Linked DNA regions of Mus musculus: all the other regions are reported to be linked to region 2. Evidence: microRNA targets listed by miRTarBase, many of them from high-throughput screens and not tested one by one. Region 2 holds a microRNA gene; each other region holds the end of a gene's coding sequence. Distances are from middle to middle.
What was found. The annotated mature microRNA mmu-miR-3095-3p reads UGGACACUGGAGAGAGAGCUUUU and lies in region 2 at 2,397-2,419, shown strand. An mRNA with a match to its seed (bases 2 to 7 or 8) in the 3' UTR can be bound and repressed. Matches are read on the target gene's strand: a 7mer-m8 pairs with bases 2 to 8, a 7mer-A1 pairs with bases 2 to 7 and ends in A, and an 8mer does both.

Region 1: miRTarBase lists Ago4 as a target of mmu-miR-3095-3p. Seed matches in the 3' UTR shown: 7mer-m8 at 2,635-2,641 and 7mer-A1 at 42-48.
Region 3: the mRNA of Ccdc97 is a reported target of mmu-miR-3095-3p. Seed matches in the 3' UTR shown: 8mer at 2,979-2,986, 7mer-m8 at 2,921-2,927 and 7mer-m8 at 2,418-2,424.
Region 4: the mRNA of Nebl is a reported target of mmu-miR-3095-3p. Seed matches in the 3' UTR shown: 7mer-m8 at 2,266-2,272.
Region 5: miRTarBase lists Slc25a41 as a target of mmu-miR-3095-3p. Seed matches in the 3' UTR shown: 7mer-m8 at 2,637-2,643.
Region 6: miRTarBase lists Nr2c1 as a target of mmu-miR-3095-3p. Seed matches in the 3' UTR shown: 7mer-m8 at 1,830-1,836.

The regions. Positions count from the first base shown.
Region 1 is chr4:126,489,541-126,494,394 of GRCm38, forward strand. Ago4 (argonaute RISC catalytic subunit 4) reads right to left here. Exons shown (of 18, transcript NM_153177.3): 18 at 1-3,791. The coding sequence ends at 3,683. Among named protein-coding and RNA genes, the nearest start is that of Ago1, 23 kb to the left of the region's middle.
Region 2 is chr4:58,438,588-58,443,441 of GRCm38, reverse strand. Mir3095 (microRNA 3095) reads left to right here and starts at 2,344; the gene lies at 2,344-2,430. The region is part of intron 3 of Lpar1 (lysophosphatidic acid receptor 1); the gene reads left to right.
Region 3 is chr7:25,709,538-25,714,391 of GRCm38, forward strand. It overlaps Ccdc97 (coiled-coil domain containing 97), which reads right to left. Exons shown (of 5, transcript NM_028771.3): 4 at 4,816-4,854; 5 at 1,575-3,576. The coding sequence ends at 3,456. Among named protein-coding and RNA genes, the nearest start is that of Ccdc97, 7.1 kb to the right of the region's middle.
Region 4 is chr2:17,345,089-17,349,942 of GRCm38, forward strand. It overlaps Nebl (nebulette), which reads right to left. Exons shown (of 26, transcript NM_001362722.1): 26 at 1-3,782. The coding sequence ends at 3,606. Among named protein-coding and RNA genes, the nearest start is that of Nebl, 120 kb to the right of the region's middle.
Region 5 is chr17:57,030,321-57,035,035 of GRCm38, forward strand. It overlaps Slc25a41 (solute carrier family 25, member 41), which reads right to left. Exons shown (of 7, transcript NM_175333.3): 5 at 4,467-4,634; 6 at 3,400-3,547; 7 at 2,452-2,863. The coding sequence ends at 2,676. It overlaps Khsrp (KH-type splicing regulatory protein), which reads right to left and starts at 1,187. Exons shown (of 18, transcript NM_010613.3): 1 at 828-1,187. The coding sequence starts at 1,079.
Region 6 is chr10:94,194,095-94,198,948 of GRCm38, reverse strand. It overlaps Nr2c1 (nuclear receptor subfamily 2, group C, member 1), which reads right to left. Exons shown (of 14, transcript NM_011629.3): 14 at 1,735-3,772. The coding sequence ends at 3,598. Among named protein-coding and RNA genes, the nearest start is that of Ndufa12, 2.5 kb to the left of the region's middle.

The DNA.
Region 1 (4,854 bases), 68 Mb from region 2:
TTTTAGCACAAGAATGTCAATTTATTCCCCTCCCCACTTTTTGGACACATAAACACAAAATATCCCCACAGGTCAAAAAAAAACCCAAAATCAAAACCAGTAACAATAACAAAAACCTCTGCAAAATTTAAACAACCATTATCTTATCTCACATAGGGATTCAAACCCTTCCTTAATAGCTTAGAAAGTACCTCGTATCGCTGGAGAGGAACATCCAGTCCAAAGTAATAAAATACATTTTAAAACATTACAAGTCTAACCATACAGAAACCATACCGTTAGTCAGATGAACAAACACAAACATTTCAGCCAGTAGACACAGAAAGGAGATGAATATGTCAGTAGGAACCAATAAGAAAATGGTTGAGCAATAAAGATCTTTCCTTTAATTCCTGGAGTTGATGCAGTATTAGTATGATGACCTTAACTTCCGCTTTTTTAAAAATGAAAGCAGAGCAGCCACCTTGCCACTGAGCAAGAGAATCTCAGAGCACATCCGTGGAGGGCAACCACAGCGGAGTAGAGAGGATGAGCCTGGTTAAAGCAGTAGGTAGCTGAGCCAGGTGGGTAGGCTTTGACCTAGGATATGGGCTGGACCCCGGACCCTAAGGTACAGACCCATTTAGAACATCCCTGCTTGTAAATCATCTTTGGAAGCAGCACAAAGAACTTAACAGTAAGAACAAAGGTGGTTCGCCTGCCCAGAATGCTGACTGCATCAACTCAGGATTCAACAACTAACAACAAAAAAACACAATTGGTTCAACACTTGGGTCTTTCCCGTTCTTAATGTCCTATGCTCCCTAGCCCCAAAAATGTCATTCTTTAGAGTTGCCGCACCAAAATCTTCCACACTACATGACAGTACCTAAATAGGCTGCATTTAAAAGAACCAAACAGCCTAACACTACTAGAGAATGCACACCTCCCAGTGATTGACACATGCATAACAACTCAGTCAGGTTTTTGTTTGGGGGGGTGGGGGGAGGTACCTATTTGAATTGTCAACCCCAGTTAAGTTAAAACTATGCATTCAGATTTGCTTACGGTGGTATTACTGCAGTTCTGATTCTCAAGTGATCACCTCTGGACTGTTCACCCCTCAGCAAGTTCCCCTCCCCCAAGTAATCCTAACTCTTCCATATTTCTTTCCACTTGCCCAGAACAACGGCTTCACACACTTATTGATACCGTTTTTTCTACAAAAGTTGGTCTCCTGGCTTTTCCTCCAGCTCCACACGGATTCACCCCAGCATACTAGGACCGGCAGTGGTGTTTCAGGCATATCGCTCATGGGCAAACCTACAACTCAGTTGCAGGACCGTGGATGGGGCTTCCGGGCACACAGCTCGCTCACTGTTCCATCCTGTCGGAAGATGGCTAGAGTCTCTTCTGTGCATTGTCAACAAGCAAGCCCGAGGCGCTCCTGTGCAGGTACGGTGCCTTCTGTCAGCTGCCAGCCACCGAGAGTTCTTCACATCACAGACTCCAGGCAAGTTTTCCTTTTCCTAAAAAGGCTTCCTTTGTTCCCCCTCCTCTTGGGTCCAGAATGTCTGTGCTACAGAGCATTTTCTGTGCTTTCCCTGAACAGGTGTGAATAAAAGCGGCAGTCAGCCATTCATCAACATGTCTGGATTTGTATTATCCCAGGGAGGTATTTGCAGAAAAAAAGGAAGATCTCAGGGAACGGACGTCTGCTGTCGCTTCACGCCTGTGTTGTGCTTCAGTCACAGGACTTGCTTTTCCCACTGTCTGCAGAGATTAAAGATGTCTGCACCCATCCGCATGTGCTATAGGACTAGACGGACATTATAAACTCTCTCGGAGACCAGGCTCAGCAAACACCAGTGGCACTGCTGAGCGACTGCACACAGAAATGTAAACATGAATGTATCTACACACTTGCTGAAGCCACTGAAGGGAAACAGTGCTTTCTATTGCTGGGATTCTGAGAGGGCCCATTTAACAGATTTGAACCTTGGACCAATTAATGAGTTCAAGCAAACACCCTTTCCCATTTGATCCAGTGTTTCCCACCAATGGTTTCTACACCGAGACTGCAAAATTGCTTTTAGCATATTGTGCCTGTCTCTTCCTTCCCCAGCACCCTCCTCAGCCATGAGGAGTGTGGCTCTACAGAGAGCCTCTTACCTTTTACTCCTTGACCTTCCAGGTTAGAGTAAAACATGGGCTGGAAACCGTGGGTGCAACTACCTTGACTATGTAACACTTGTCCTTTACAAGGTATTATCTACACTAAATACAGAATACATTTTCCCTATGTTCTAACTGTTCTTGCTTTACATCAATTCCCTTTGTTTGGACAAGAAACGGAATCCTGTCTTCCTGTGAGGGAATCTAGAATCTGTTACAGAAAAAGAAAAACAACAACAACAACAACAACTTCTACAGAGTTTTAGTTGAAAAAGAGAAAGGCAGAGCCACCAAGCACATTTCAGGCTGTCTTGTAGGCAGCCGTGTGTGCACCCCTGATTCCCAGGGAAACCAGGTTTTCACTGGCTGGTACTTTCTTTTCAAGTGCAGTACTGCTCAATGTGCCTTATGCATCGGCAAAGCCTGACCGATCACAAAGCATCCTGGTTCCAGCTTCTTTTTTTTTTTTTTAAAGTGACAGGACACTGACTATAAAATAAGTTTTGTTTTGTTTTGTTTTAAAAACAATTATTTATAAGGACATTGAAATCTGTGTCTTTATAAACTGGTTTCAGAATATCCCAGTTATGATATGTAAGAAATAGTTGATAAAATCATACTGAAATCTCATCTAGAAAACGACGTCAGGAGAAAGGGCAAGGGCCTTACAAATGCTTATTGCCAAAGTTAACTTTCTATGAGAGAAGTTTAAAGATCGTTTAGATCTAGCATACCACACAGCAGCATAAAATGGGCATGTTTGAAGATGTGGAAAAATACTAAAAGCTAATTCTCTTTTTCCAAATATGGAAAACATGGGTACTTTTTACCACGGCAGTGTATCTGTCCCTGTGACACACATCACATCTGCTTATGTCACAGACTCACAAAAGCCAGTCAAGTAAGGGAACTGCCTGTTCGAATCTGCAGCCAAATATAGTGCAATTGCTGGGCAGCCTGTACCCCACAGTGCAGGCCCGAAGAGATCAGTAGAACAGTGAAGGTAACAGAGTTCTGTAAAACTTTCAAAAGCTGATGCTCCTTAAAGGCATTGACAGTGGCAAAGTCAGAAGTAAGAGGTCTATGGACCCACCCAATTAAAAAGTTACATGGAAATGATACAGGCCGTTTGGTTTCTCTCTCCCACTTATGCACACCATTCAATAAACACAGAAAAAAGGAAATACTCCTCTTATAAGACTAGATGCGGTGAATACCACAGCTAGCAAAAGATTCCATAGAAACCCTTCTTGGAAAGTCCTTTAGAAAGTCAAGGCTGATCAGCCTTTGCACGTTGAGGTAAAAATTCTGCCCAGTGCATCAGAAAACACAATCTATGAGTATCTATTTCTTTAACAAAAAAACCCAACTGGCTCAATTTTGTTGATGTATCAGACAGGGCTGCAGAGTAGACTCAGTGCAACCATTCTGAGCTGCTGGTAGGGACCACCTGAGAGAGGCAGTAGGCGTCGGAAACATTTTGAGGATGCGTGAGATGCCAAATTTGTTGAGTTCTTTTCCAAGACTCTCAGGCAAAATACATAGTGTGCTGGGTATCATGGTGGATCTGCACAGCCTTAGCCAAGGCCTGAGGATCCCGGCCGTTGCTCTGTCCTGACACGTGACTGCCTTCCGCACTGTAATGAAAACAAAACAAGAAACCGGGCATTAGCAGAGGACAACTTGAAACTTCAGTATTTCAAAGAGCACAAACAGTCTTGTATTCAAGAACATCTTGGCTGAAGCCTGGGCTACTCAAACAATTTGTTTCCTTAGACACGTTGGTTCAACTGAAAAGTACAGTACAGCTTATTTAATGGGTGGTTGCAATAAGTAATTAATGTTCACAGAAGCCAAGTGTCTGAGAGCACCTATGAAAGGACTTCAGTGCCCCTCTCTCTGCTTGGTCTCTACTTGTTCTTCAAGCTTCAATTACAAGTCAAGCCCCTCTTAGAGACTACTCTGACTTCAAAGTCCAGGTCAGGGTCACCTAGAAAGTGTTTTCACAGAGTACTGTGCTTTCACACACACACACACACACACACACACACACACACACACACACACACACACACACGGAAGCTGAACAACGCTCTACTCGATGATAACTTGGTCAAGGAAGAAATAGAGAAAGAAATTAAAGGCTTTTTAGAATTTAATGAAAATGAAGACACATCACACCAAACCTTAAGGGACACAATGAAAGCAGTGGTAAGAGGAAAACTCATAGCTCTAAGTGCCTCCAAAACGAAACTGAAGAGAGCTTACACTAGCAGCTTGACAGCACCCCTGAAAGCTCTAGAACAAAAAGAAGCAAATACACCCAAGAGTAGTAGATGGCAGGAAATAATCAAGCCAAATAGACACAAAAAGAACTATACAAAGAATCAACAGAACCGGTTGATTTGAGAAAATCAACAAGATGGATAAACCCTTAGTCAGACTAACCAGAGGGCACAGAGACAGTATCCAAATTAATAAAATCAGAAATGAAAAGGGAGATATAACAACGAAATATTTCTTAAGATAACTATTCTGTTTGTTGAATATCAATAGTTGAAAATATTAAAATCATGTTCTACAAACATCATGGAAATATTGTTGATAATTTTTCTCACTGTCTTGAAATTAGCATTTTCTTAATGTTTAACCTCAAAGAGCTTTTGAAATTTTTGCTTTTTGTTTTTTGTTTGTTTGTTT
Region 2 (4,854 bases):
CTCAGGAGGCTGGGCAGGAGAATTGCAAGTTGAAGGCCCATGGGGGATAGAATAAGTTCAGGGCCCACCTGGTAGCTTGATAAGAATTTCTCTCAAAATAATATTTAAAGACATTGAGGATATACCTTAGTATAAAGCATTTGCTTAGCATCCATGAGGTTCTAGATTCAATCCCCACTGTTGCCTAAAAGCACCCCATGTAGTTACATCAAAATGACTTCATATAGTTACATCATATAGTTACATCATAATGACTCCATATAGTTACATCATAATGACCTCATATAGTTATATCATAATGACCCATGTAGTTACGTCATATAGTTACATCGAAATGACTCCGTAGCTACAGGACAATGGATAAGTTTTATTTTGTCTATGGTTCACTACCTGAGCTTCCTTTAAGATACGTTAGTTAAGAACTGATTCGGCAAAATCAAAATGTCCTTCAGAGATGGACTGAAATTTGACTGTATTCTGGGATGCAACTGGCCTGTCTGGATGGAATACACAAATTCGACAGCACTAGGGGGAAAGTAGCTTCTGACATCCTGATCTGAGAAGTGAAGAGAGTCAGGCCTTGAAGATGCTAACTTGGGTGTAGGGCTAGTGTAGGATTGTCCTACTTTGACTTGTTCCAAATCTGTGGAATTCCTGAGTATTTTTGTGAAAACCAATTTTTCCAGCCCAGACTGGCAATGCTTTCTACCCTGCTCACCCAGACTCTTGGGCTCCCTAGGAGGCTTCTCTGGCCCCTTCTTAGCTTTGGTTTTGTGTTCCATATGAAAGCAAAGAAGCAAAGATCAACCCATTAGGAAACAGCACTTCTAGAAAAAACGACTGATTCAGAGAGCAGGCAGTGAACGCCTTGCTTGGAGGGAAGGTGTGGTCACGTGACTGTGCTCTGCAGCTGGGACCTGTTGTTCCAAAGCTGCCCATTTCCTCCCTGACCCTTGCACCAGCATTCCAGGGTCTCTTACATTTGTTTTCGGGCAGCAGGCCCTCCCAGATTGCTTTGACAGACTATAAGAAAGAATCCAAGCTGGTTCAAGGACAGGCAACCCGCAGATATATTTTGAAGCCTCCTGCTTCCACCTTCTTTGTGATTGTGACAAGTTGTAGGGAACTTTCTATTCACCGAGAGGCATGGTTCCTGGGACTCAACCTTTGAGGAGCCTAGCAGGGTGCTGGACTTGCATTTTATTGATGGAAGTGGTGAGCAACAGTGGACAGCTTCTTGCTCTATGTTGCTGCCCAGATTCAGGCTCTACTTATTCTTGTTTTAGAAACTAGAGATACACATATACATGCACACACACACATGTATGCATACAAACACATATACATGCACACACATTCACACAGATATACCCAGACACATACACACAGATACAGACACACATACTCACACACATACATACATACACACTCACACACAATCACATATACTCACACACAGTCACACACACTCACTCACTCACTCACACACATATACACTCACAGACACACAGATATACTCACATACATACACTCATATACACAGACACGTACACATATTCACATATACTCACATGCACACATCACACATACATATACATACACACAGACACACACATACAGATATACAGACATTCTCACACACAAGCACTTGTATACACAGACACAATCATGAACACACAATCACACAATCACATACACACACTTATATACACACATAAACACTCAGACACACATAGATACACAGACACAATTCTCTTTATCTCCATCATTTCCATCTTTCGCTGTCACTAATCTGTATCCTAAGTGAAAACCTGACCGTTGAGGCCAGTAAGATTACAGTGGAGGTCATTATTCCTTATAAGTCTCGTTTGCATCATTGTTACATGTGATACAGGCTGAGAACCAGTTCTAGGCTGGAGAGAGAATGTCTTAGCCTGATATACCAGGTCTTCATGACCTTAGACCTCGTATCTTCTGCACTCCTGGCTTTACAATATGGAGCCGCAAACTGTATTTTCTCTCTTTCATACTGTTCCATACCACTTTTCAGGTTTGTGCCTTGGTCTGTAGAGTCTGCCATCAGAAGTAGGCCAGAGATAAACAACACCAAAGCAGCCTTGGCTCTGGAATTGTATATTATTTTTAGTTTCCATCTAGTCAAGTGTGGCACTAAGAAGCTGCAGAGCCACGGGGAGCGGTGTCACTTCCTCTCTTCCTTCCTTTTCTCGTGTTCAACTCTGAGTCCTGGGACTGTCTGGGAAGATGTGTAGCTAGTTCTGAGAATGCCAAGCCTTCATGGTTCGTATCATGCTCTCCTGCTCTTCCTCGCCGAGGATCCACCCAGAGCCCTGTGCACAAGCTTTCTCATCTGTGACACTCGAGATGGTTTCAGGGAGTGGACACTGGAGAGAGAGCTTTTGCAAGTCGCTCCTCATGCCTTGTGGGGTAGGAAGAGAGCTGTTGCTTCTCTGCTTCACAGATAATGAAATAGGGGTTTGCTCAACTCATCCACACGTCTTACAAGGACATAACCAAAACTACAGTCTGGACATAGCCTGTGATGCACCTCTGGAGGGTGACCCCACTCAGCTAGAGCTAAGTACTTATTTAAACACACACACGCACGCACACACATACACACACACACACACACACACACACACACACACACACACACACACACACACAGATGAGACTGATTCTTAGAAGCTCAGAGGGAAATTGGTGACGTGAGAAGACTTGATTTCAGACTATGCATTCTCTATGATTTAGGAGCCTGAACACCTTGGACTTTCCAGCCCCCTGCTCCTCTCTTATAATACACTGTTGTCTTTGGGTCAGTGTGATCCAGGACACCCCAAAAAGAGAAGGGAAAGGGGAGAGGAAAGGTCCACATGATCACTTTTTGTTCCTCCCCCTTCCCCCTTCCCCCTTCCCCCTTCCCCTTTTCCCCTTCCCCCTTCCACCCTCCCCCTTCCCCTCCACCCTCCCCCTTCCCCTCCCCTTCCCTTTCCTTCCCTTCCCTCCCTCTCTCCCTCTTCCTTTCCCCTCCCTTCCCCTCCACTCCTTTCCCTTCTTTCTTTTCTTTTCTTTTCTTTTCTTTTCTTTTCTTTTCTTTTCTTTTTCTTTTTCTTTTCTTTTCTTTTCTTTTCTTTTCTTTTCTTTTCTTTTCTTTTCTTCATTCATTTGTTTTCAGAGTGGGGTTTCTCTGTGTAGCCCTGGCTGTCCCAGAACTCATTCTGTAGATCAGGCTGACCTCGAACTTAGAAATCTGCCTGCCTCTGCCTCTCAAGTGCTGGGATCAAAGGTGTGTGCCACCACCACGCAGGCTAATATGATCAGTTTTTAATGTGGATTTCTGAGGCTATCACTGAGACATTTGATTGAATCATGAAGAGTCTGAGACAGTGTGGTTGGCCTAATCACAGTTATAACAACAGTTCCTTCCAGTGAAGAACGGAGAGGACTCCAATTCCTGCATGAAGTGTTCACATAGGTTAGCTTCTGTCAGGCTGGAGCATTTCCCATTTCCTGTGGCCAAATCTAATAGGGTGCTTTTTTTTTTTTTTCTGTCTAAAAGTGAAGTCCAAAGTCTCTTTTTTAAGGCCATCTCTTTCCTAAGAGGACCTTGTTCTTCTTGAATTTTTGCATTTTAAGAAATCATGAACAGCCCATGACAGTACTTAGATCCTCTTCTGATCAAAGTGAAGCAGCCTGGGAAGAAGGGTGTTTCCTCTCTGCCGCCCACAGGGAGAAGGAGGTAGTTTTATTTAATATATATCTGTCTGTGCTTGTAGCCAGCCAAGCTCTGAATTTGAGCTCAATGAGAGCTTTGATAAAGGGAAGGGGAAAAGGAACATTTAGGATTGTTTTTCCATTCATGACGAGTGTGTGTGTGTGTGTGTGTGTGTGTGTGTGTGTGTGTGTGATAAGTAGATGAATAATGAGACTGTGCACTTTCCCATCCAAGCCTTTTCCATCCTGAGAATGATTTCTTTCCTGGCTTCTCGATGAATAAGGCATTATTTCTGAAACCCAGGAGGCATTCTTTTGATTTCCCTTCATGTTTAACTTTCTGAGTGATTTTCAATAAAGGAAATTCAAGGGCTTGGAATGAAGGCTCTCTTAGCATTTTTATTGAGGGTCAGATAGAGCCGTGGCTATTATCTGCTGATATTTGGAATATTGTTTTCCCTCTCTGAGGAGTGTCTAAGGTATTGTATTTATAAGAAAAACGAAGCACCTTGGATGGCCTTCAAAGTGAACAGCAGTCTAAAACCAATACACATAGGTGGTACAGAACAAAGAGCTTTATACGGTATTTTTCTTCTTGCTCTATTTGTATTTCCCCGCTGAAAGGGTGCAAAAGGAGATGGGGGAGGCTCTCACATTCAAAGCTGGGCTGTTTGGAGACTAAATCACATTTGTTTTCTTTTTATGAACTCATTCCTTGAGATTGGTTCAAGCTGAAGACGCCACTGAAACCTGAACCACTGTGTGCATCTGAAGATTCAAATGCGTGTGGGGGTTCTCCCTGCTCACCCTCTCTCTGTTCACTACGTAGCTGATTATCCAATGGGGGGGGGGTAGCTGAGGTGTAATGGCACACACTGCCCCACTGGATTGATTCCTTCTGTAGAAGACCCCCAGCGCATGCCCCGATTACACAGTCATCAAAGCTAACGAATCATTTCATGGCTTTCATGTTCCCTCAGATCCAGGTGGAATGCGATCTCAGAAACTAAATAAGAAGGGATATTTTTTCTCATCTGCATTTCCAAAGCAATCATAATTATAGAAAAATCTGAATAATTCAGAGTAGTAGTGGGTGAGAAAGCAGAGAATTGACCTAGG
Region 3 (4,854 bases), not on the chromosome of region 2:
TCTTATGCTTGGGGGTCACCACAACGTGAGGAACTGTATTAAAGGGTCAAAGCATTAGGAAGGCTGAGAACCACTGCTCTCTCGTGCTAGGATTACAGATTTTATGCAACATTGAGGATGAACCCCCAGGCAAGCACTGTACCAATTTAGCTACAACCTCAGCCCCAAGGGCAGCATTCTGTGATAAGTATGTTTTGTTCATAGTCTAACACACATTTCACAGTTTGTATCCGTGGTATCTCCAGCACACTTGGTGTCTGTGTGAGAAGCCTCATGGGGCTTAGAGGCCTGCATGTCCTTTTGGGCTGGTTTCAGCTAAGGTGGGGAACTTGGAGCAGGTAGACCCAGCACTGGTATGCCCACCTGTGGGCTGGAGACTTCAGCTTGTGAGTTGTATGGGTCACCTTTGACAGGGTTTGGAGGTGTCTGCATTAGGATGGGGGGGAGGGGGCAACCCTTCACCATATGCTGATGTTTTCAGAGGAGGGAAAGTTCCTATTATGTGAAGCCATAGGCTGTTGTATGACCAGCGCTGGTTGGCCTTTGTGCTGAGTGGAGCCTGTCTGCGGTGTCCCTTTGCTGGCGGGTGCCACGCTGGCTCGGGGCTGGCTGTGGCAGCGGGTAGGGCAGGGCAGGGGTTGTGGTGGGCACTGGCCTTACGCCCGGCCTTGGTATAAATATCCCCAGGGCTGTTTACTCGGGGCGGCAGCAGCCCAGCAGGTCCTGGGGGGTGGGGGATGACCAGGCCACAGCACAGACATTTCCTTCTACTCAGACAGATCGGCAGTCTTGCTCTCCTCTCGTGGGTGGGGACAAGGTGGTGACCCCTTGTTTTAGGCTCTTAGGGGCCACCAGTAGAGCTCTGACCTGGATTTCCCAGGGTCTGAGAGACAGGCAGGGAAGGGGATGGACCAGGAGACAGCAGGGGGACGGGAAAAAATGAGGGTACAGGCTGGGGTGGGGGGTGGGGTCAGGCTACTGACAAGGGTGTCAGAGCCTGGTGAGTGACAAGGGAGAAGTGTGCTTGGGGATTAATGACAGAAGCCAGGAAGAAAAGGGAGAAGATGGGAGTCACAGGGGTACAGATGGGATAGGTAGGAAATGAGGACAGTGTGGGGCAGGCAGGGACCTCCCCACAATGGAACTGAGGCTGGGGGAGCAGGCAGCAGAGAGGTGGGGGTGTCACTGGTGCATGGCAGCAGCCAGCAGAGACCTGTCCAGGGCAGGACAAACAGGAGACATGGAGGTGGGGGCCGGATGCCCAAAGAGGGGCTCTCCCTCCCTGACTCAGCCTCTCCGCCCACCCCATCCCCAGGATCCAGATCAGAAGCAGTGGCGCCAGCCACCGTGGGGGCTGCTCGAGCAAGCGGGGTGTGCTTTTGCCGCCTCTTCCCCCTCCTCTGTCTCCACCTTTCTTCCTGTCTCCTCATCTAATCCCTGTCCTGGTGGCTGGCCCCACCTCTGTCTCTCATTTGCAGGCTCATCTGAGCCATTTGACTAACTCCAGATCCTGACTCAATGGCTGTGCAGCTCAGCTCTTTTAGAAAGTTACATAACAGATGAATGGATGGCAGTTTCTATCTTAAATAAGTTTAATGATCGGACAGAACACTGGTCAACTGTGAAAAATACCTAAGCCACAACTTCCCAAAAGAGCACTCCTGGCTCCTGTCCAGTGTGGTGGGATCCCAGCTGGGGACTCACTGCGTCCTCTGGGGAGGTAAGGGTAGGGGTATAACAGTCCACCACCTGCCACCATACTGTGTACCACAACACCTGCACCTTCTACAGTCCCCCGAGATGGGAGGAAGTCTGTCTTCGGATCTCCACCGCTGTCCAATGAGGACACATGGAGGCACACTGGCCAAGTGTGTTCCAGTCTTGGTTCTGCATGGGAGACCAGGTGGTCTCAAGATGCAAATGGCTACTTCTGGGTTCTTTCCATCCTTTGAGACAAGTGGCGACCAACAGTCTTGTTTCCAGGTCTGTTAGGAGGTGTCAGTCAGGCCTGGCCCAGGCTGAGCTGTTGAGGATCTTTCAACAGTTTAAGAGAACACCTTCTACCCCACTGGGTGAGTTTACTTGATACAGAGGGCAGAGCCAAGACCCAGGGTCAGGACCTTGGCTTTACAAAGCAGTTTTAGGTTCCTTCAGGTATGGCCAGAGCAGAATGCAGCCATTTGCCATTCAGTGCCACAGCAGTTTGGATTCTCAGGCCCAGACACGCTGGCCTCCATCCCCACAGGAGCAGGTTGCTTCTGTCTGCTGGGGACGCAGGGGCCGGGTGTGGGGCATGGGAAGGTAGGGCGTCTGGGTTCCCACAGGCCATGGCTGAGTCACAGGCAGCCATCTGGCTTTCATTAGCCCAGGGCAGCAGGGGGCTCTGTGGGGCGGGCCCTGTGGCCAGCTGGGGGCAGGGACACTGGGGCAGGCTGTGTGTCTGTGTGTGATGACTCAAGACCCATGATAACAGCCTGTGCGTATTTGGGGAGTGTAAACAGGCGAGGGAGAGGGAGAGGGAGAGGGAGAGGGAAGGGAGGTGGAGGTGGAGGAAGTGAGGAAAAGGAAAACTGTGGCTGGAAAGGGGGGGTTGGTAGGGGAGAGTCCCCCTCTTCAAGTTCCTCCCACACTCAAGCTGGCCCTGTGGTACCCAGCCCTGCCTCTGCCGGCACTCCCAGCTAGTGTCCAAAAAGGAGCAGCAGAGGCTGGTGCCACCTGGGTTCCCCTAACCTCCACCCACAGGGAAGGCTTCTGATGCCCTTGGCTGCCAGGCCTGGGGAGGGGGACCCAGAGAGCCAGAGCAGTAAAGGCTGAGAAAGAGGGGCAGACATCAAGGCCAGGGGATCCATGGGCGTGAACAAGGGTGGGGAGGCATGGAGGGTAAGGTGGGAGCTTGGGGGAAGCAAGAGGGCCCTGCGTAGGACACTGGCAGAGAGAGGTGGAGAAACTCAAGAGCTGCGCTGGCATTCTGGTGGAGCTGGACACTAGCATCCATGGGGCAGCTGCAGCCACCAGACAGTTGTTAGGGCCCTGCTGTGGGCACAGCACCCGTGACACAGATGGGTACAAGGTGGATGCGCAGAGGTTAGACTTAGGAAGCGAGAGGTGGGGCAGTGGCATGAAGGGAGAAAGTGAGTAAGAACAAGACAGGTAGACAGGGCATAGGGACTCGCCTGTACACGCAACCTGGGGGCAGCCGAGGCAGGAGGACTGAGTTTCAGGCCAGCCTTGGCTACAAAGCAAGTAACACAGGCAAGTTATATAATAAGATCCTGTCTCAAAGAGAAAAGACAGGTGGGGCCAGAGCCAGAGGAGCAGTAATGTTCCCAGAGAGGAGTGGGAACCCCTAAACACAAGTGGAGGCATTGTCTGAGGTGGGCCAAGTCTAGAGGGGCCTGAGTCACTAAGCCGGTTTTAGCCAGCGGCCTGCGGGGTGGCTACAAGGGTGAGAGCCATCAGTCCCCACCCAGCTCTGCACTAGACACATCCTCAGGCTCCTCTTCATCAAAGTACCGGTCCTCCTCATCACGGGCCACAATGTCCAGGTTGTCAAAGTCAGGGTTGTCATCCACCGTGCTGCGGAGAAGAAAGCTGTCAGGCGTCATAGCAGACCCAGCTCGGGAACTGACCACCTGAGTGTGCTTGTGCCTTTGGGAATCCTAAAGAGGTGTTTTCCCAATCAGCCTACATAAAAAAATGCCTGCTTCTTTGACAGATCGGAAGGTGTGACGACACCACAGCCCTCGGGCTTCTAAGGCTTTGGCTTTTATGTGGCACCCACCCCAGTTCCACTGTGTGACCTGAATCACCAAGGCTCCACTCCTGTGGGATGAGCCGTCTCAGTCCTGCCTCAGCACTGGAGTTCCTTTGTGCCTCAGGGTGCCTGCACCTGTCCTCACCCTTGCTCTCTGCAGAGCTGCTCAGAAAACACCCCACTGAGGCTCTGACCACTGCTCTGCTCCCCCGCACGGTCTTCAGAGCTCCCTCACCAGTGGAAGTCGGGCAGTTCCTGCTGTAGGGGAGATTTCCTTCTTTCAGGAAGGTAATCCTTGGCTACATCCATCCCTGCTTTAACCCTAGGGTCTGGACACAGCAGATGTACAAAAGTGTAAACTGATTGTGGGACACATTTGGGTATCTGCTGCCCTCCTGAAGGAACAGGCTTGGGCCCCCTCTTCTGGTGTCCTCGGGGTCACTTAGTGTAGTAGCGGGGCTGGCTCATAGTGTGCCAGAGCCAACACTGCATAGCCTTGGTGGCCCCAGCGAGCAGTGGATGAACATCACTGATGTCAGAGCTGTGGGATCCCAGCATGGTCGCTATGGCAGCGATAATGAAGCTATTTGTGGACACAGTTCCCATGTCATTGGACCTGGATGTGAGCAGGCAGGGTCCTGAACTGCCAGACTAGGATGACGGTATGTTATCTTTCTCTCTCTCCCTCCCTCCCCTAGCCCCTCTCTTGTTTTTTCTTGAGATGGGGGTCTCATCATGTCTCCCTGGCTGGATCAGAGATCCAACCACCTCTGTCCCCCAAGTGCTGGGATGAGGTGTGCCCCATTAGGCTTCATTTAATGCTTCGTCAACACTGCGTTAAATGTTGGCTCAGTTTACCCCTTCGTTTACAGATGAAGGGGCTAAGGCTCTGAGAGGGACAGCCACCTCCCCTCAATGATCTGAAACTTCCAGAGTGACTGACACCAGGTCCCTCAGTGGGGAACTATTCCCGAGCACTCTAGCACTGCGAAGGAAGGCTGTCTGAGGAAAGGCAGGGACCTGCCTGGGACCATAGGTGCTGGGCTGGGGGTGGGAGGCACCTGTAGTCAAAGCCCCCATCTTTGCCGTCCAGGAATCGC
Region 4 (4,854 bases), not on the chromosome of region 2:
ACCTGTAGTATCTTTCTTTCAAGGGTATCCCACTTCTCACCACAAAAATATTGATCATGTATCATAAAATATTACTATAGAATATGCAGAAGCTTGCTTGCTTGCTTGGTTTCCTTTCTAAGACCATAATGATAAACAAGCATAATCAAAAAGGCACCTATTTTGTATATATTTATATTGTAACCTTAGTATAAACTGCATCTACTGAATATAGGGCTGTATTATTAAAGATCAATTATTTTCTTTCTCATTTGACTGAAAACATTCCACTGGAGGTGGATGAACCTGAAAAGTAGGTGTGTCACTTGCTCTCAATTATGGAAAAGGTTTTCCCCTAATTCCTATAGTGTTATAGGCCTCCAGCAGAGAGAAGATCCCTAACTAAAAACATCTTCATCATCTTCAAGCAAAGGACCTAGTAGCAAGAGAGAAACTGGACTAATCTCATCCATCCCCCTTACAAGATGCTTGTAGAAATTGTGCTTAGACATTCCTGGGTGCTGTGTGGAGGCTGGGAGACATGGGAAGAGGCAGAGCCTCCATGGAAAATGAAAACCAGATCAAAGTTGCAAACTGGGCTGTGCTGCAGATGTGCAAGCAAAATGAAGATAGGAAGATATTTTGTCACAGGCTAGAAAGAAAAAGCTTTCTAGATAACAAATGCTTTTTTTCTTAAATCTACTACAAAAGCTTATAGCAAAAGCATTATATCAAGTTTCTAAACTTTTCTCAAGAGGACTATGAACCAAAGGCATTTGTTTTCAGAGACTTTGAGAAGTGTATCAAGTACCTTCTTGTGCTCCTGGCAAGCTTGGAATCCATCAGATAGGAAGAGGTGCGTGCCCTCTGTGCTTGGCATTTAGTCTCCTTTGACTCCAATTTCTAAGGGGCTTGTTCTTAAATTCTTCTATTGCTGTCAATGTTACATGTGACATATTGACTGCCAAACTGCACGTGGGAGGGAGGCATGTGGAAAGCGAAAAAGGTGCTAAGAATATAGTATTTCTTAAAAAGATGCTGCAAAAGATGGCACCTGGCTATGACACATCTAGGCTCGACGCATAATCTCGAAAGCATGCCATATATTGCTCTGCCTTGGTCTGTATGGAAAACTGGCTGTCCTGGAACTCACTCTGTAGACCTGGCTGGCCTCGAACTCAGAAATCTGCCTGCCTCTGCCTCCCGAGTGCTGGGATTAAAGGTATGAGCCACAGCTGCCAGCTCCAGATCATATCTTAATTCTGAAAGACTTGAAACAGAAATATCTTGCTAAGCAAACATTATGCAAAGCTCAATATTTAGAACGGCTATCTCCTAAATATGTACTGACTCTCACACTCATCAAGTCTGACTTTGAAATTAATGAGTGGCAAAAACATGGACCATAGAGTCACTACTTTGTGGGGACAAGCAAATGTTAAGCATCATTTCAAAGTTGGCTTCTGTTGAGATTCCTACACATATACTATGATCAAAATCATACCTGCCCTGCATTTATCCTAACATTTTAATTTTGACTACTTTTGAAAAATAGTCACAAACACACACACACACACACACACACACACACACACACAAATGGTCTGCCTCTGGAAGCATAAAAGACATATCACATAAATGAAGCAACTTATCACCCTTGTTTTTCGGGTACAGATTTTTGCAAATTATTGCAAGTGCAGTTTATCTTTGTAGGTGTGTGTTCAAGACATGAAAGCAGTTAGGAAAGTTAATAATGATTGGTTACTTAAATTACGTGAAGATTAGGTAAGCTACTTACTTATGAGTCTATAAAAACAACCTCTCCAGAAAAATCTCTAGTTATCTGCAGAATTTTCCTTTTCAATTTTCTATCTGTGTCACAGAAATACAGCTTAGTGTGACAAAACTTTTCCTTAAAGCAAATCTAAGAAAACTAATATTTTTCAAAAGTATGGGCTCACTTTCTAAAGATTTACATGAACCCACTTTGGACTTTGGCCTTATAAACATTTCATTTGAATGGTTTTTGTTGTGGATGCTTTGTTTATTTCTTTAAGCATATTGTGTAAAGTAGATATTCCCACAGTCGCAGTATCCTCTTATATTTTTGTGACTTTACTCTCTTCATTTTCAGAGCTTACAAGAATGCCACCAAGCTGCAAGTCACAGTCAGAGGCACTATGAAAAAACAGAGTTGCAATAAATGTCAACATCCAGGTGACTTCAACTGCAGATTCCAGACAAGTTTACTCACAAGTGTGTGAGTCCTGCAAACTACTCAAAACCGGACACTGATTTCTTCCTTAGTGGATTATCTGTTGGACATCCCTCCCCACCAAAAAATCACTCATGACTTTTTTTAATCTAATCGTGAAGGTGACTTAGAAAACAAAAACGGGAATGGAAAAGGGAAGCCTTTTTATGAACATATTTAATGGCCAGATTTCTATCCCAGCATCTGAAGACTGATTACCAAAGTATAAGACCAGATTGTCTAACTGTGAGCAAACCTTTGCTGTTCTGTGTTTTTGGTTTTCAGCTACTTTATACTCCATTTCCGCTTACGGTCGAGGCTGTTCAATTCACTCCACTTTTAAATCAATGGTGGCATTAAGTGAGTGAAAGCTATCCAGTAAATACATAAGTCTCCTATTTACTAGAGTATATATGTAGTTCCTAAGGTGTGAGTCTTTCAAAACTAGAGTGTAATGCAGCAAGAAAGCCTCAAGCAACTTTTCAAAATGTTTTCCAATGAGCGGGCAACTAGAAGAAGGGCAGGGAGAGAGTGGCCATACGGTTGACTTTAGTAACAAGGATGGGCTAGCAGCTGTTACAGATGTTGCCATGTTACAGAAGCTCACGCCCACAGACATGCAACAGGATAGAGGCTACTGGTGAAATAGTACAGATGACATTAGACTTTGCCCTTTGCAGAGAAGCTGGGAAGTTACCTGGTCCTGACATTCTGGGGACCTGAGCAGATGCACTGCTCCACAGAACATAAATGGAGATAGGCTACACCATGAAGCACATGAGAACTAAATAGCTCCCGCTCAGCCTAGGGAAAGGCTAAGTTCCCTGCCGACTCCCTAAGGCTACAGTCAATATGATTTTAACCAGACCCATTCTGCCACTGTTTCCATTTATTTATTATATTAGGTGATCCTCCCTTGAATTGAAAATTATCCAATGATTTAAAAGCTGAACAGTTTTTAAATTATTGGATGTGTTGCTGGACTATGAGAATTAGCTATGGATGATTCCAAGTGACAGCTAAGAAATTTCATACATTTGTTACACTTAAGGGACAATCAACATCTCTATTAAAGTCTACAAAAATACATTTCCCAGAAGGGTTGGATAGCCAATTGAATGAAACCACAAACACAATTAGCAGCACCAGGTCTCCAGACCTAATGGTTTTGTTTACAGGAATTACTATGGATGCTGCCATTTCCAGCCTGAAAGTCAATTCCTTTTTTCCTGGTACCTGTGTGTCTAATTGTCAAAGTAAGGATACATTATTGTAAAATAATTGCCAAGTTATCTGAAAAGTATCATCTATCTTTTAAAAAGATTGAGTTTGGAATACATCATAATAAAGCTCGAAGGGCAAGGAGAAAGAATTAATTCACAAACTCAATGTAATTTGCTGGGAGCATGCCCGTTCTCCCGGTTCTCTGCACGGTGCCATACATCCAGCCATCATCAATGGGCTGCACGTTGACAATGTAGTCACCATCTCGGAAGGAGACCTCATCTTCATCCTGGGCGCTATAATCGTACATGGCGCGGTAGGTCCTCTGAAAAAGAATGAAGTGATTGTATGTGGTATTCTAAAGTAGGAGAAGATACAAATCTGGACTATAACCAACTACCACACACGTGATGAGTATGAGTGTTTGCAGGTGTTGCTATCTTTGGGCAGCTCAAAACCAGGTGTATCACCTATTCTATAAATCTTAACTTTGTCCATCTAGAGGAAACATATTTAAGGTCAAAGCAAGGGTCCAGAAAGATAGCACAGTACCTTAACTTTAAAAGACAATAAATAAAATAGTGTGCCTCTCTAAAAGTAACCTTCAAAGGAATAACACCAGGTCCTGCATGAAAAAAAAAATCCCAGAAGCCTTAGATGATGTAGATTTTCTTCAGTTCCCTTCTTTCTTCAGGAGATTAAGCCTCTCCCTCCCCCATTAACAGCAGGCCTGTAGTCTAGTGGCTCTCTGCCAATGGCTTTCCCCTTGCACAGAAAGTGAACTTTTCCTAAGTAAATACTAAGAATTTTTGTTCCTCCCCCAAAAAAATATTATAAAACTCATCTATTTACTTAAACATTATACATATCATATCACAGGGCCATAAATTCCCTACATAAACATCTGATTTTTGAGATACATATAAAGAAATTTTTATTACAGTGAAAAAACTTAAATTGCATTTTTATATTTGTTTTAGTTCAAGTCTAAGAGTTTGTCTAATATTAATAATCAATAAACCTCAAAGCCAAGAATATTCATAGATTAAGGAAACAGGTAACTGGCTGGCACACAGTAGACCTGAAAGCAATTATTTTCTTGTCTCCTGCTTCTAAATATTGAAGCAATCTCAGCATGAGACACCAAGTATGAGCACAAAGTAAGTTTCACTTCTGAACTTTGAACTTAATGATGAGTGTGTCAAGACTTCTAACAGGGATGTTTGAAGGCTACTATTCTCAATAGACTTTAAACTGACGTACCTTATTTGAACAGATTTGGGAGTATAGCAGGGCATTTCAGTACCGGGATATAAACAATGCCTGGCAGATCAGAGTAACTGGAATATCTACTTAATACTTTTAGTAGAATATCTATTTACTGCTTCTTTACAGTC
Region 5 (4,715 bases), not on the chromosome of region 2:
TTCTAAGTATACGGCCAAGCTCAGTCCCTGTGCAAACCTAGGACTCCGTCTTGGGAACTAATATATTCTGAACCCTCAGGTCTCTGAATAGCGGTCTCCTACCATCCTGCGATGCAACTTTACAAACCCTGAGAAGCCCTTGGGGACCCTAAGACTCCAAGGGTTCAAAGAGGGGTCTCACAGCATCTCTGACCCCATCCTTCATGAACTCAGGAATTGCTCTTACAGATCTGCCTCAGTTTCTAGAACCCCATGGGTCCTAAGGGGGTGCCTAAGTGAAAACCCAGGAGTGATTCTTGGGGACATCCTCATAACATTCAAGCTCAGGCCTTTGGAAAACTAGGAGACCTCTCCAAATCACAAACAGTCTTGGACTTTAGAGTGGTCCTCAGAATGCAAACCCTATATCTTGAATGGAAATAACGGGTGCAAGCTCGGGGGGTGGCTCTTGGGGACACTGTCCCAGACTGCAACCTTTATGGGTCCTAGAGGAATCCTCTAGTACACCCAGGAAAAAAATCGTGGGAACTCCAAAGCTGCAACCCTCCTAATAGAGAAGACCTGGTGCAAGTACAGGGGTGGGTCTCAGGGACCCCAAAGGCTGCAAGCCCTGGTACCCAAGAGAAACCGTCCAGTGCAAAGTCTAGTTTTCGGAGATCCCCCCTTCAACGCACCCTTAACTACACGCACGCAGAGGGTCACCCTCACACCGTGACGGCCCCAGACTCCCCGCCCCGAGCCCGCCGCCCACGTGACCCTCCCGCGACCCCGCGCGCGCCGCTGCCCCCTCCCCCGCGCGCGCGCACGCGCCCTCGCGGCCCCCTCACCTGGCGGGCCCGCTGCACGGCGTCGGCGAAGGCGTCCTTGCGGATCCCAGGGCCGCCGCCACCGGGAGGCTGTGAGGGGCCCCCGGACGCGCCTCCTCCACCCGGGCCGCCGCCGCCAGGGCCTCCGCCGCCCCGGTCTCCCGCGCCCGGCGGGCCCGGCGGAGGGCCTCCTCCCGCACCCGCGGCTCCCCCTCCGCCGCCAGCGGGAGGCGGCGGGCCGGGCGGGGGACCTCCGGTGTTGTAGTCCGACATGGCGCGGCGGGGACGGGCTTGGTGCGGAGGCTTCAAGCTGAGGAGGCGGAGGCGGCGGCGGCTCAACGCGGGAACAAGGCCTCGCTCCACACGGCCGCGGAGCACGATGGGAAGCCAGCGGCTGGGAAGGCGACGGGGAGGGGGGGTCGCGGAGGGGGAAGAGGGGCACCTCCTCCCGCCACCGGCTTGACGGACGCCGAGGAACAGCCAGTAGTATACGGCTACCACTCTACGCCCGCCAATCGTGGGCCGTAAATCCGGGCGACCAGTCAGAGCTTCGGAAGATGCAGGGGGCGGGAGGCGCGGTGTGACTGACGAAGATAGGACTCAATAAGCCCAGGGCTGCTGGCGCTGGGCGGGCAATTGGAAGTCACGCGAGAAGTCAGGAGGCCCAATGAAGCGCGAGTTCCACCTTCTCGGGGCGGCTCTAGGATGAGAGTGACGGCTCTGATCAGTCACGTGGCCTTGAGGGCGGAGCCTATGAAAATTCTCTGGGATGAGCTGGGCGGGCGCTCGGCAAGATAGTCGTCAACACCAGCTAATGAATACACTTAGGAGGCGGTGCTTGCTAAGATTGGCAGTCATTTGATCCAGTCCCCGAAGCATTTTGGAGGATGCGCTTGGATTTGGACGTGACTTTTCTCAGAATCCTTGTCCTCTGACTTCTGAGCCAATGGCTGAGCGACAAGGGCAAGCGTTCAATGATTGACCCCTCTGTGGACAAATAGCAGTAACAGAAGTAATAGTGCCCGCTTGCTGAGAGCCAGTGAAAGCGCATCTGCATTGGGGTGGAACCCGCTACCAGGCGGCAGGAGCGGATTAGTGGGAGCAGAAGTGAGTGGCAGAGGACGTGGGAGGTAGTGCTCAGCAGCCGGAACTATGGGCAGGACCTTAAGTCAGCGCCCCAGTAGCCTGGCTTGGGGAGGCCTTGCCCGTGGCCTGCCCGAAGCCTTGGGGGGTGGGGGGAGTGGTGGCCCGAAATTGGGTGAAGATTTTCCCTCAAAGGACCTTCACTTCCAAGACTCATGACACCAACTCCTCAAACTTCAAGCCTATTCCCAACCTCGACCCAGGCCCCCCACAGGGGTCCAAGTCTCCTGCTCCCAACCCTGGACTAAGAAGGAACCCCAAGTTCCCACAGGAGTCCAAACTTCCAGTTGCCACCCTGGGCCCAGAAGTCCCAGGTCCATTTACCGGAGTTCAAGACCCCTAGAGCTCCTAGCCTGGACCCCAAAATCTCAGGTCCTCCTGATCCCCAAGTCGTCAGGGTGGGGGTTGAACTTAGGATCTCATAAATGCTAGGCAAGCACCCTAGACGATACACCCCATCTCCCAGCTCCCACCCAGAACCAGCTAATCTCAGACACAGACGTCCAAAACTATCTTTATTCATTGTCTGCATCTTCTCTTGAACAAGCCTGCAAAAACCCGGCTGGAATCCCAACTCAGAATCCCAATTGGAGGACTCCCAGCGCTTTTCTAATCCGAGTCCTGGGTGGTTTTTGCAAACCAAAATGGCCTTAAAGCCTGAGCCTTGGAGTGCTTTTTGAGACTCAGGGACACTGGGTCTTCCATTCTCTTCTTGTTCAGGGCAGGTCATCTGCTCAGGACTTGTACACCCAGGGTTTTCTTCATGGCTTCATACACCAGGTAGCTGATGCCGCCTGCTGGCAACACCTTCAGTAAAGTGGGTGTCATGCCTCTGTACAGCCCCGGCCAGCCCTGCTGGCTCAGTATCCTCTTGAAGACTCCCTGCATGGTGGGGTTGGAGCCCTCCACAGTGTCTGGGGATAGACATAGACAAGGTCAGCACTGGGTATGATGTGAGATTCACTGTGAAGGATCTGATCACACTGAGGGAATGTTGTAGAGATCATTTGGTTATTGTTATATATGTATGTATGTATGTTGACATGGTATCATATGGTGCAGATTGGCCTAGAACTCCATATGTAGCTGAGGCTAGCTTTGAACTCTTGATTCCCTTGCATGTACCTCCTACTGGAATAACAGCACTATCACACCCAGTTCATGTGGTACTGGGGATTGAACCCATGCATATAAGGCACACTCTGTACCTTGAGCCCCAGCCTCAAAGTAGCTGAGGCTGGCTTTCCAAGTGATGGGTGATAGGCATGTTAACTTGAGGGCTAGGGTTAGATTAGGGGTGAGCATAAGCTTTGGTGGGTTCAGTACTTAGCAAAGGTGTTCTAAATGGGTTATAGAGAGGCTGAAAGTTGGTGGGAAAGGTGAAAAGATACAGAGAGCTGGAATGAGGCAAGGAACAGCTATGTGTAATGGCTCCTGGAGCCAGGCTGACCTTGAGCCTGCATCCTTGTGCGCACCAAAGTCAGTGGGTAACTGGCCATCTGGCCACAGGTCGTGGACAGTGTTACAGATGACAGGCTGACGAGGCCACTGGGGTCCTTCATGTCCCTGCCCAACTTCTGCCACAGGCACTGGAGTAGCTGCGAAAGGAGGCAAGAATGCTCTTGATACCGACTCAGAGTCAAGACAGGCATGGTGGTGCACACCTTAGTCCCTCCAGTGTTGAATCAGTGGCTGGTGGGTCTCCAAGTTCAGGGACAGCCAAGGCTGCATACTAAAACCCAATCCCATAATCAAAACCAGCTGGACACGATGGCACACACCTTTAATCTCAGCAGTAGGAGGCAGAGGCTGGAGGATCTCTTTACATTTGAGGCTAGCCTCCATGTACATACTGAGTTCTAGTTCAGACAAGGCTACATAGTGAGACCCTATCTTAAAAAACAACAGGCTTTGGAACTCTGAGTTTGAGGGCAGCCTGGTCTATAGAGTGGGTTTTAGGACAGTCAGGGCTATACAGAGAAATCCTGTCTGGGTGTCGGGATCAAACAAAAACAGTGGATTGGAGAGATGGCTCCCAGGTCAAAAGCATTTGTCCCTTGCAGAAGACCCAAGTTCAGTTCCCAGCATCCAAATGCTGTCTTAGTCTAAAAAAACCAAGATTTAAGAGAAGGAACACTGACTGCGCTTCCAGAGGTCCTGAGTTCAGTTCCCATCGACCACACGGTGACTCAAAACCATCTGTAATAGGATCTGATGCCTTTTTCTGGTGTGTCTGAAGGCAGCGACATTGTGCTCATACATATAAAATGAGAGAGCCGGGCATGGTGGCTCACGCCTTTAATCCCAGCACTTGGGAGGCAGAGGCAGGCAAATTTCTGAGTTCGAGGCCAGTCTGGTCTAGAGAGTGAGTTCCAGGACAGCCAGGGCTATACAGAGAAACCCTGTCTCGAAAAACCAAAGAGAGAGAGAGAGAGAGAGAGAGAGAGAGAGAGAGAGAGAGAGAGAGAGATACAGGCTGACCACCAAAGCCATGTTCTCCCCTCTGGAGACACACACCTCATAAACAGCTAGGTCGGTGCAAGCATAGGGGATGATGCCCAACATGTTGGGCAGGTAGCCTCGGTATAGGGCTCGGGTACCATCCCGTTCCAAGATCTGCCTGGCACAGTCCAGAAGCCCTTTATACTGGCCAGTGAAGCGAAGGGTCAGCCGAGTCTTGAGTACCTGGAGCAGGAGGAGATCCATTTGGTTAAACACTCTCTGACAGACCTGTCACACACTTGTAGGTGGAGGTATTGTCAAGGG
Region 6 (4,854 bases), not on the chromosome of region 2:
TCAACCGGCCGCGGAGGTCGTTCTACGCAGGCGCAGAGCTGGAGGTCGCGCAGGGAGGATTATCTGGGGTTTTACAGTACAGGTTGGTGTCTTCCTAAAGGTGAAATTAATGTTTTCGGAGGCTGTACCCAGAAAGCGACCCTGCGGGGAGAAGTACGCCAAGCAAAGCTTTCCCAGATGGGAGTTTCTCCTGTCGAAATAAGTTTCTTCCTCCAGACAACGATGACGCACATTCCAAAAATTCCTTATAGCACTAGAAGCTAAGAAATGCATTACTGACCCCACAGCGGTATTGTACATTTAATACAGAGTGCGTATGATTTTGAATTCATTAAGCGTCGGTATGCTGGTAGATGAGTGATGAAGAATTGCAAAGAATAAGATTAAGTAAAATACCTGAAGGATTTGTTATTTTATTGTTGCAAGGTGTAAGCACAGACACTAGGTAGACTTCATCACAGAGTTAGTGCTTTACAAAATAATAAAATAAATAAACAATACTGGCAAACCCCTAGCCATAAAAAAGAAAAAGAAAAGAAAAGAAAGAAGAAACTAGGATTAATAAAATTAAAGATTAAAAATAGTTAAGTGTCAAGTCGACAAGGCTGGCCAGATTGCGAACCTCGGGAATACACCTGCCTCCACATCCCTGGAACTGAGTCTACAAAGGTGCCACCATACCCGAATTTTCTACATGGGCTCTGAGCTGTAACTTCTTTTCTCACGCTTGCAAGGTAGGCTAAGATCAAACCCAGGTCCTTGGCAAGAGCAGCTAATATTCTTAATTTCATTTTAAAAATATTTTGCGTTATTTGCATATTGTTTCCAAGCCCTGTGTGTCTTTACATATTCCTCACAATATGTATGTTTTTTGATGACTAGAATGCAGGGGAGTCACAGGAGACTTCTGATAGCAGGATAGAAGGCAAATTGGCCTCCAGCTCTTTCCCTTAGAACACAGCCAGTAGGCAGTAAGGAGCAGAACAGAGAGACTCTGGCCATGCCCAGATTCTGTCCCACTGCAAGTCCCAGCTAACAGCCACTAATACTCAGTGACTACAGAGATTTAAACCCATGATTTCTGCCAGACCCCTGTTCTGACTGAATGGAGATAGGTTGTCCCTGACCACCTCTGTCTGTATTATACATTCATGTGAAAATGCACACTTCTAACTGGTAGGTTTGGGGTGGCTAACCGCAAAACCTTGATGCTTGACATACTGCCAATAGTTTTGAAGCCCCTTCTATATCCTTCCCCGTTTGCACCTTCCTCCTCCCTTCCCAACTATTACCTAGACTTGATGCTCTTGCTTCTTGACTACATTTTATATGTATATGTACATGTAAATGTACTGTTACACAGATGTAACAGTAAACTAGTTAAATCATATTCTCTATGCTTTATGTACTTATTCAAATCGATGCAGGTTTTCTTTGTTTATATAATCTTAAACTCCATGTGTGTGTGGGGAGCACAAAGGAAAGAGACTGAACTCAGATAGCTGCATTTCCACAGAAAGTGCTCTGACCCTCTAAGCCATCTTGCCATTATTTTTGTTCTTAAAATGCTTATATGATTTTTCTCCCTTCTACTGCTGGAGACTGAACCTAGGGCCTTGTAAATGCTAACCTAAGCACAAGCTCTCCCACTGGGATGCCCTATGACGCAGAGGGCATCCAATCACCAAATAAATAGGTCATTGAAATAAAATACATTGACAGGATACAGAAATTTGTAATGCAAGTCACATTTTAATACAGTTTTAAAAAGACTTCCCAATGTAACTACAAATTTCATCAGGAAAAATATCTCAAAGAAATAACCATTAGGACACTTTTTTTTTTTTGGTGAATCCTTGGCTTATTATCTTGAGATGATAAAGGTATCAAAGGAGCCAACATTTTGACACTGTGATATGACATCGTCATCTACAGATGTGCTGGGATGCAGGTTACACATGCCCTACTGAGACTTTCTGCGTGAGCATTTTATGCTCTATGCACTATTCCCTGGCAGCTTCTTATAAATAGAACTGTTGACAGGATGAAACAGGAAATAAAGCCCTCCTAGTAAGTTGGTAACATTTGCAAGACTACACTTTTAAACTTTTTGTTACTACTGTTAGTAGTAAAATCCACCACCCCCCATAGAAAAATTCAGCAAAACTTTTTATTAATAATAAAGAATGTAATCTAACTGCAATAAAATCTCTGTGTTTGAAAAATAAATACCAGCGTGTGGTGCATGTCTATAATCCCAGCAACGGGGAGTGGGAGGCAGGAAGATAACGGCAAACTTGAGTTCAGCTTGGGCTGGGTAGCAAGATCCTGTCTCAAGAAAACAAAACAGAGATGTGGAAAAGAAGGACGGAGAGAGGGAGAGGGAGAAAGAAGAAAGGGAAGAGGAGAGATGGGGGGAGAAGATCAACAAATAGATGAACAGATTTACTAAAGGAATCCATTATAAAATCAGTACAAAGAGCGACTGATGCCTGTCATATTGGTGTGGAAGACTGAGGAGTCTAAAATGCTTTGGTTGTAGCAAATAATGAAACTTGAGGTTGTTAGAGCAGCCTTCCTCGGCTCTGCAGGGAAAAGAATCAGTGCAGAGTCTTTTGCCTTTATGAATTATCAATTGCTTGAATTATTTAACTCACCTTGGAACCATATTGGCTTTGATAATTGCATTACTTAGCAAACTGGGTGAGTTTTTTTAAAAAGGACCCAATAAAAACGGCTAAAGGCCAGGGCAGGGTGAAAAAGCTGAACCCCCGTCTGAGAAGAGGATAGATGCTTTCTGTGGAATGAAAAAAGCAACTACTTTAGTATCCATTCTAAAATACTAATACATCCTGGGGGCAGTCTGTACTATGTTTAAAACACAGTAAACCCCCAAATTTAAAACAGGATCCCCATCTTATTCTCAAGACTAATTTTCTACCGCAATGAATAAAAGTGCTTATAACTAATAATCTACTACACTATGAAAGAAAATACAAATGGCTTGTGTCTCATTGCCAGCAACGAGAGTGTTATATGCTTGATGTTTATAAAAGCATATACATATATATATATATATGTATATATATATTCATTTCTTACTTCCTATAGCTCTGATATTATCATTATATAAGTGAGCATAAGATAACCTTTGACCTGGTAACTAAAATGATTATGGATAAGTAAGATGTAAGAAGTCCCTGCTTAGGTGTTTAATTATTAATGTTCTGGCTCAATGGAATTAAACAGGAAGAGAACGCAATTCAGGGGGGAAAAGACTAGTTTATTTGTTTTATAAAATAGAATGAGAAAGCTTAGTGTAGATGGTCAGGAGGAGACAGTCTTAGGTGTCATCCTCACCAAGAGCAGCCCAGTACCTTTTTAAATCATCCCTAGAGGACAGACAGGGTAGTATATTTCCTGACCCCTGCCTGGTCGCTTGATTTCTTCTTAAGGAATCCAAAAGAAAAATACTTTCAATTTTGGTTACTCTTACAGTTACTATTCGCAGACTCCCTGGAAGCAACAGCTCCATTTGGTTTCTTGTGTCCCGAGAAGGAACAGTAAACTTAGTTCATAGCGGGGTGACCTCAGCTCTCAAAGGCTGTGACCAATTATTTGAGAGTTGTAATCTGCAGGCTCCATTTTTAAAATGTGTGGGATAACACTGTCGATCCGTACGTTGCCAATGAGACCTTTGAAGAACAACTCCTCAGTAATGGTAGCGTTCATCAGCCGCAAGGCGGGCAGTCTGAGAAGTAATCGCGACAGCCTGAAAGAGGAAGCGGAGACAGGCAAAGTCAAAAGAGACTGAGCAGAATGCAAAGCACCCATGTGAAATAATAGAGATCCAAGTTTCAAAACGAAGACGAGTAGTTTGGAATGCCAAGGCTTAGAGTGGCAGGGCTGCCATCTACAGCATACTGACCCCTGCACAGCAAAGCCTTGCTCTGAACTGCCCCACCACACAGTCCCTGCCTGGCTGCAAGAACCGTGGGACTACAGTATTAAACCACAGGTTAGGTACACTCGAGAACAGCTTCCCAACTTCAGAGGGGAAGAACAATGCTTTATATTATCAGAACACAGGAGGCTCAAAAAATCTTTTCTTTTGAAATCACAGACATAGACACATACATACACACAGACACACAGACACAGGTACAGACACACATATGGGTAGATTACACACACATAGGCACAGGCAGATACACTTAGACACAAAGATATACATAGACAACTCTTCAGAGACACAGACATAGAAAGACACACACACAAACACCCATAGACACACTAACAGACACAGAGATACATATAGACACAACAGATCCAGACATACCTAGACAAACAGATACACATAGACACAGAGAAAGAGACACAGACATAGACAGACACACACAATCCTAGAAATGACGTAATGACGTAATCGAAATGACGTAACAGATAACTGATACTATTATAACAAGCGTGGATAGAGAAAAAGGCCACTGGTCTCAAACAGTGACTCAACTGCCCCTTACTTCCTCCAGGCGTTTCACAGAGCTGGTGTGAAGATGAAGGATTGCTTCCTGTCCAATTCTAGGTTTGGGAGTAAGTTCATAAAGGTAGACCATTAGCTTGTGAGGAAATGAAATGAAAAAGCACTGTTCAAGGGGACCGACTTCTGAATAAGCAGGGACGTAAGAAACGGAGAAAGCATCCTTACTCTTGTGCTCTGGGCCATCGGAAAGGAAAGCAGGAGTTACGGGTTAGACATACACTGAGTTCAGGAGCATCTGACAGCTGAGGTAGACTGCCAGTGCTGAACACACGAGCAGTCTGTGCAGCAGGGACGTGCCAGGCAAAGGCGTAATG